2 linked regions of the Caenorhabditis elegans genome follow. The protein of the gene in region 1 purifies or fractionates together with the protein of each later gene. This does not show direct contact. Each region holds a gene or a part of one and is shown on either strand. Other genes may lie near its edges. The genes, in order: K08B12.1 and F54C8.1.

Region 1 (4,095 bases):
AATCGAAGTACGAACACCCTTGATCCGGGGTCTCAACACGACAATTTTTATTAAAGTCAAAAAGATGTGCACCTTCGAAGATTACTGTATTTTCTAAATTGTACTGCGGAGGAATTTTCATGTTTTTCATAGTTTTCTCGATAAATATATGTTTTTTAACTCAAATGTAACAATAAAAACAAATAATTTTGAAAAAATCTTGAGCTATGAAACTATGAAAACTCGATTAAAATTTCGCAGCAACAAATATTTAAAATTACAGTACTCTTGAAAATTTGTCGCGTTGAGACCGGATACCGTATTTTTATTGCTAAGTTTTGCGCCTGGTTGCAATGAAATTTTTCCAGCTCTTGTCAACATGGAGGACACTTCACTGCAATTCCTCAACCAACAAACATCCTACGAGGCAAAATTGATTGTGAATGTACCAGGTTCTCCAGATGAATATCTCCTCGTGTTCAATATGATTGGTCTTTATGTCAACGAAATGGGCCGTCGATCTAGGCTACCAGAAGTGATGTTCCCGACACAGGCCAAATATTTCGCCTACCACGAGCCGTATTTATGTGTGTTCTCGGAGAATGAAGTCGACATTTTCAATGTGACCCTTGCTGAATGGGTTCAAACAATCAATTTGAGGTAAGATTTTATTAATATTATTATTCATATTATTAGAGAAATTATATAAATGTAAACTAAATAAGTTGGCCACGGGGGCAATGATTTCTCACAAAGTCATCCTGATCGACTTGGAAGTAACTTGTATGATCAGCCAAATTGCTCATGGCGGTGTTCCGACATCCAAGATCATCAGCTACGGAGCACACATTGAATCCATCTCCCTTTCCCATATTGTTATCATAATGCACCAGATATCGGTAATGCATTGCTTGTCTATTATATTGAGCTGCAGTAAGAACTGCTGGATTGAGTGGAGCTGGCATATTTGGAACTGGATCTCCACGCTTGATTACTCGATAACGGAATGGAATGTTCTCTTCGATTTCCTTGGCGTAAGCAATGTTTCCAGTACGTGGCTCACCGAACGTGATAAGGCGGATGCGATTTTTATCGACAGACTTCTTCTTGACAAGATGGAGCGCTGTCATGGAAGCAAGAGATCCTCCGAGAGAGTGCCCAGTCAACTGAAATTTATTTGATTTTTAAAAATTTAGAATCAACGAATAATCTCAATTTTAATCTTAAACTAGCTCACCCAAACTCTATAGTTTCTGTGTTTCTTCATCAAATCAACTAGATCATCTTCCATTCCACTATCAATGAAAAGTCTGTAGAATGCAGTATGGAAGTAATTGATTACTCCTGCATCCTGCGACTCAAATTTCTCCCATGCTCCAAGTTGAGCAGTCAATCCATGAAGCATCTCAGCGAAAACTTGCTTTCCTGCAGTACTTCCCTTGTAGGCAACGTACAGGGCCTTGGCTTCTTCGCTCTTTGCAATGATTCCCTTGCACAGATTTCCAGATCCATCACATTCAACTTCGTAGGATCGGGAAAATGAGATATCTGGGCGAACATTTCTCAGACATTCTGTCACATTGCTATCACGAACAGCTGTGGCGACGGCGAACAAGGATCTTCCCAAAGCGTCGGTGTACCGTTTTCCAGCTGTTGGTTTGTACTGAAATTTAAAAAAAACCTAGTCTGTCGTCATATGGTTTGCAAAAAAAACGTACTGGTGTTGGGCATTTGAAGGCATCTTTTTGGATAACTGGTTTTCCGATTGGGCAAGAAATCGGTCCACCACACGTGTTAGTCTCGAGGCACCATCGGCAGTCTTCTTTGAATCCAAGGATGTGAATATAGCTTTCCGCACAAGTCTTACAGTCTTGAATGTCCTTGCAAACTAGTACGTTGCCAGCTTGACCGAGTGAAATTGCCAATGTGGCAAAGGCCGCGAGAGCGAAGACCTCTCGAAACTTCATCAAGGAAGCAGGGAGAAAGAAGAAATTCGAAAATCGAACGTAAATATTGGAAGATCCGAGAAAGAAAAACAGGAGGCAAAGAAATTGGGTTGTTGGCCTAGTTTGATCCGTTTAGCGCGCGGTGAAAAGTGAAAATGATCATCACCTATATCATCTTGTGAATCCTTTCGCCTTCAGGATCATCATTAGTCTTATCGTGTGTATCTTATCAGTGTAGTTGTTGCCATGAAATTAAAGGGATAATTGTTAATTTAAATTTTAAAATATTGATAGTTGTATGTTAAAATTTCAGATCGGCAAAACCACTTTCTGGTGATGGAATTCTCTCAACATGCCTTTGCAATGACTCTCCAATATTCGTACTTCTTCAAAATGTGCTCCAAGATCAAGATTCAATAGAAGTTCCAGTGAATTTGGCATCTGGAAGCACTGATGGACGGAAAGTGACGCGACGGAAGTTCACCTTCCGAACAATCGGAAAAGATGATAGGTATACATCAACCGAACAACATTATTTTATGAACCAAAATGGTAGCTTAATTTCAGGAGTGCTTCGGAGCGTCGGAGTCACATACAAATCTCGACCCCATCGGATTTCATGCATATAGTTCATATGGGTCCCGCACCGGTCATGGAGCTACAACAAAATTTCATTGACTTGCAGTCGAATCATTCGCATACTTCATCCGATAAGGTGAGATTTCTTGTTAGATAATTAAAATGAAAAAATTCAATATTTTTACTAAAAATTCAAATTAATTGAAAATCAGTCAACGAAGGAGTCGCGAAAAAAATTGATTTTTTTTTGAAAATTTCCTAATTTTTTTGCAGTTTTTAAAAAAATTTCATATTATCATAAATAGGAAATATTAAATAGCTAAAAATTCAAATGTTTGTTTTTTTTTCATTTTCAAGAAAAGTACGTTTCAAAAAATTCAAATATTTTCAAAAATTTTCGTTTTCATTTTAAACTCAGATATTCCAGAAATATTATCAACTTATGATATTACGGGAACACAAATTTCCGAAAATGCATATTGCGCAACATATTTGACGTGCAAAATATCTCGAAGCGAAAACTACAGTAATACTTTACATGAGTACTGTAGCGTCGATTTACGTGTCATTGATTTATCGAACTAATATTAAAACAGTAACAAAAAACGATAAAATATTACGAAAAAAAACAGATGAAAATGGAATATCGCTGTCACTATTCGGGAATAAATTAATTTAAAAAATCGAGCCCGTAAATCGACACTTGCGCTACAGTAGTCATTTAAAAAACTACTGTAGTTTTCGCTAAAAGATATTTTGCCCGTAAAATAAGCTTTGCAATACGCATTCGCTGAGCTTTGTATTCCCGTGAAATATTAACATATCTCATTCCTAAAGCCAATTTTTTCAGGATTCACTGAACAGATCTGTAAATAACGACTAATTCTGCAACTCTCTCCTTCTCGTCTACATACTTATTTTTCTCCCAATTTCCAAAAAATCAAAACGATGTAAATCTGGTGCTATCTCCCTCTCTAGACATAACGCCTTCATATCTGGTGCCCTCCCCCTCATCCCCTCATCAACTTTGTACTTCTTGTGCGTTTTCTCTTTTTTTTCTCACTTCCGTAGAACAAGCATAATTTTAGAAATAATCCCCCTCCCCTGATCATCTATTTATTGACTGTCTCTTGTACTCATTGTGCACACTTCTCTATCCAAAGTCGTGACAATATTACCATTTTCTTTTTTTTTTAAATTTTCTTACGCTAATTTATTTCATTTTACATTTTTCACTCCTCTCTCATCATGTCTCATTTCAAAAATTGCTCTCTCTCTCTCTTTCTCAACGAAACGATTATTGCTATTCAAATTTTCGATTATTTTTTCAATAGAGAAAAATATATGTCTTGTCTTTTTTCTGTATAACTAAGATTTTTAAGATATTGCTTCAAAACCACCTTTTTTCTCAAATTTTCCGCCTTTTCGCTCGACATTCTGGTGTGTAATTGTGTGTCCGTTTTCTTTTTATGTGCTTAAACTCCTTTCAAAGTCTCACTGAGAGATAAAATCTGTTTTTTTAAGTTTGGAATTATTTCTCCTAGACATTCAGCTTCACAACACTTTCAGGTCTTTGAACATGCGAAAATTC
Region 2 (3,858 bases), on another chromosome or scaffold:
CTACGCACATTATTCATATTGTTATAATTAATCAATTTTTATGAACTTTGTGATAATTCCATTTTGTGTGTTGTGTTCTTTCAAATTTCTAGGACTTGAATATTGAATACCTGTTCGAGCTACGGACCAGGCACCCCTACTATCGATTCTTCATTTCAGATGGACTTTTCAATAGTCAAAACTCAAATTCTCAATAATAGGCGGACATTCCGCACACCATTCAAAGTGTCGAGTATGTGTTTCAGTTCGCAAAATGATCTCATCGCTCTTGGATCGAAAACTGGCGAAATATTGTTGAAAAGAACATCATGGAAAATGATTTGGAAGGTAACAGGAAGATTTCAAAAATATTATCAAATCAGGATATTTCAGACCAATATCAATATGATTCAAGCTGTCGGAACCGAATGTAAATTGGACAGCTCTGTTTCTGCATTGCACTTTTCACCGGATGGACGCTTTCTCGCAGCAGCTACAAGTAAAGGCATAATACATTTGTTAGATGTGGAAACGGGAAAAGTTCGATTTTCAGTCAAGTAAGAGATCTATATAATAGTTCGAAATATCTATTGAAATTCAGAGCTGCATCCGAAAAAATCGCCAAACTCCACTGGAATTGTGTTCGTGAGAAGCCATTTATAAGCAATCTTGGAGAATTCACTACAAGAATCAAAAGTAAGAATGTTTTATTCTATCAAAAAACAGAAGTAATCTTTCCTATTATTTCTTGTACGAGTAGAATCCGTCACCAGTTTTTCTTCCAAGTTTTCCCTCGGCAACCAGCTTATCTACCAATGGACTTGCTTCGAATAGTTGTACTTCTGGATACTTTGCTGCCCATCCATCCATGACGAATTTGACCGTGTCGAGACCAATGTAGTCGGCCAGCTCGAATGGTCCCATTGGATGTCCTGCTCCCAACTTCATGGCTTCATCGATGTCCTGAAACGATATTTGGAGTTTTTAGAAAGCTGAAAATCAACATACGGTCATTGATGCATCTCCTCGTTCATACATTCTCGCTGCTTCGAAAAAGTATGGAATAAGCAGACGATTGACAATGAATCCAGGACTATCCTTACAAGCGACTGTTGTTTTTCCAACAGCTGTTCCAAACTTGATCAGCGTTGCATATGTTTCATCCGAAGTGTCATCAGATCGAATTACCTCGAGAAGCTTCATAACTGGCACCGGATTGAAGAAGTGGAGTCCTCCGAAGCGAGTTTTATCTTGCAATCCTTTGGCGACATCCTCAAGAAGGAACGATGAAGTGTTCGTGGTCAAAATCGAATCCTTCTTGCAAGACTGCTCGATTTGGGCAAAGATTCCCCGCTTCAAATCGATGTTCTCAATGGCGGCTTCGATGATCAGATCGGCATCAGCAACGGCGGTTGACACATTGTTACACGTTTTGATACGTGACATTGTGAGAGTCACGAAATCCGACTTTTCCTGGAAAAAACAAGAATGAGAATCTTCAAACAATTACGATATATACCTTATCAGTTCCTTTTTGCTTTTTTGAAAGATGCGTCACACTTTGACTAATTGCCTTCATCGCTCTATCAAGTGCTTTTTTATTAACATCGGCCAGCATCACATTGAATCCACTACTCGCCGTAACTTGAGCTATTCCCGATCCCATCTGCCCTGATCCAACGATCGCCACGTTTCTGATGTTTTGCATGGCACACTTTGCTGTGAACATCATCTGAAATTAATTCTAATTAGAGACTCCTTAATCAATATCGAAAATTTCAGATGTTGAAGCCATCGAAGGAGCTATCGAATTGGCAGAAACGACACCGAACATCAGTCAAGAGGAAATCGCATTCGTATACCAGAGGCTTGATGAGGTAAGAAACTAACCTTGATGATATGATCGACGTGTTTTGCAACAAACAATTGAGAGAAATAATTGATTTTTCAATCAAATTCGACCATATCAGATCTACTGACGTGGTATTTTCCGTGGAATTGTTTAATTAATTTCACATGAACTATTCGAAATTAAAATTTGAAAAAATCGACAGAATCTGACTTTTTTCAATGAAAAAAAAACTGTTCCTCAATAATTTTGTTTCAGGATGGTTCATCTTTCAAACACGAAGATGCACATAAAGAAAGTCTCGAGCGAACTCTGATTTCAACTGAAACATTCCGTGAATCTCTTCAAAATACGATCCTTCTAGCAACTGATGACATGGATTCGAAGATTATTGTACTTGTTGCTGGTGTGTTCCCATATATGGAAATTGATATCAGTGACACACTTCTACAATACAATCAAAGCCTTCTCATGCTCTACGATATGCACTACAGTTCAGCGTTTGGTGGCGTATCATTTCTCGCCACTACATATGGGCCATTTCTGGACTGCAAACAAAATGAGTTGAAGCCTCCTGGAGCTGAACCAAAAAAAGATGGCCAAGGATGTCATACGCTGCTTTTCAATGTTAAATTGAATATTAATTCGTCGCTTTGGGATACTGCGCTGAGGTAAGCTTTTGAATTTCTGCGATAAGCTCGAACAATTTACTTTTAAAAATAAATTTAGATACATTCGCCTTCTATTTGGCTTCAACTTGTACAGCATTTCTCTGGAAACTACAAAACGAAATTGGGAAGAGCAAATAGACAATCTTCACTCATTATTCGATACAAAAACGAAAGCTGTAAAAATTGGAAATGTGCTTCTCGAAATGCTGCTCTCCGGGTCGACAGATGCGGCTGGCGAGGCATTTCTTGAACGAGGTCTCGGAACTGATGGATTGGATAAAATTGAGCTTTTTGCAACGAAGCACATGCCGTATGTAATATTACCTGAAATGTTGCGATTTTTGGGTGAAGGTCTCGACACGACAATTTTTGTTAAATGCAAAGAGATGAGCGCCTTTAAAGAACACAGCGGAATTTTAATTGATTTTTTAAAAAGTTTTTCCTTAAGAAATTTTTTAATTAAAACAAAAAAATTTAAACAAATCATGAAAAAAACTTGAGCAAACCCGATATGTAAGTGTGATTACAGTACTCTTTAAAGGTACACACCATTTTCGCATTTAACAAAAACTCGTCGTTTCGAGACCCGTTACGGTAGTTTTGTCGTAAAAAGCGCAACATTTCGCAACTGGAATATATTATTTGTTACTAATTTTAATCGGTTTTCAGGGAAGTTTGTCGTATTGCTCGGGGACAACTCTCAACGTCAGCCCGAAATTTGTGCTTCCAGCGATGTGAATTCTCGACATCATTATCTCGTTATGCAAAGTTTATTCAATTGAAAGATGACGACAGTTTTCTTTATGATGAGGATCCGCCAGCATACCTGTCAGAATCGAATATTTGGCTGAACACTTTGGAAGAGAAAATCAATATTCTTGATATGAAAACTCGTCATCTTGGAATTCAATGCTTGACTATGATGTAAGAAATCTGACGATCTAGATGTAGACAATAATGATAATTTAAAAAAACCAAATTTCAGGCAAGAACTTGGACATCTCGTCAAATGGATATCCATGACAAAACCATTTGCAAAAACGATGAAAGTTAATGCTTTGATGAAAATAAAAAGAATGAACATTGCAAAAATTCTGCTTGTAAGCCATTTATATCCTTTACTTTTATACAGTACACTTTTTTCAGTACATTGTGAGAAATTTCATTCCGGATCCAGAAGCAGTGAAAGATATCGAAAACAGACTTTTCAACCTCAAGGAGTTGGTTTCGAAGCAAAAGAAAAAAGATTTGGAAGACAAGTTTGATGAGGTTGAATATCTCTATAGACTTGAGAGAATTGCCGAAGTTGAAAGGAAGAAATTAATCGAAACGTATGTTTTGTAACATGACTTCTAAATT

Evidence for each region.
Region 2: the proteins of K08B12.1 (region 1) and F54C8.1 fractionate together in Caenorhabditis elegans (co-fractionation; one large-scale study listed by BioGRID). This does not show direct contact.

Annotation. Positions count from the first base shown.
Region 1 is NC_003283.11:6,257,322-6,261,416, reverse strand, and holds K08B12.1 (Fungal lipase-type domain-containing protein), read right to left. Parts: upstream 2,051-4,095; 5' UTR 1,947-2,050; coding exon 1,698-1,946; intron 1,643-1,697; coding exon 1,217-1,642; intron 1,146-1,216; coding exon 696-1,145; 3' UTR 640-695; downstream 1-639. Other genes in the region: Serine/threonine-protein kinase mrck-1, read left to right, coding at 348-639, 2,239-2,436, 2,493-2,640, 3,355-3,387.
Region 2 is NC_003281.10:9,437,760-9,441,617, reverse strand, and holds F54C8.1 (putative 3-hydroxyacyl-CoA dehydrogenase F54C8.1), read right to left. Parts: upstream 1,920-3,858; 5' UTR 1,870-1,919; intron 1,857-1,869; coding exon of another isoform or gene 1,762-1,856; intron 1,712-1,761; 5' UTR 1,709-1,711; coding exon 1,499-1,708; intron 1,453-1,498; coding exon 988-1,452; intron 943-987; coding exon 721-942; 3' UTR 676-720; downstream 1-675. Other genes in the region: emb-30 (Abnormal embryogenesis protein 30), read left to right, coding at 160-327, 373-536, 581-675, 1,762-1,856, 2,087-2,499, 2,558-2,809, 3,169-3,423, 3,485-3,599 and 1 more.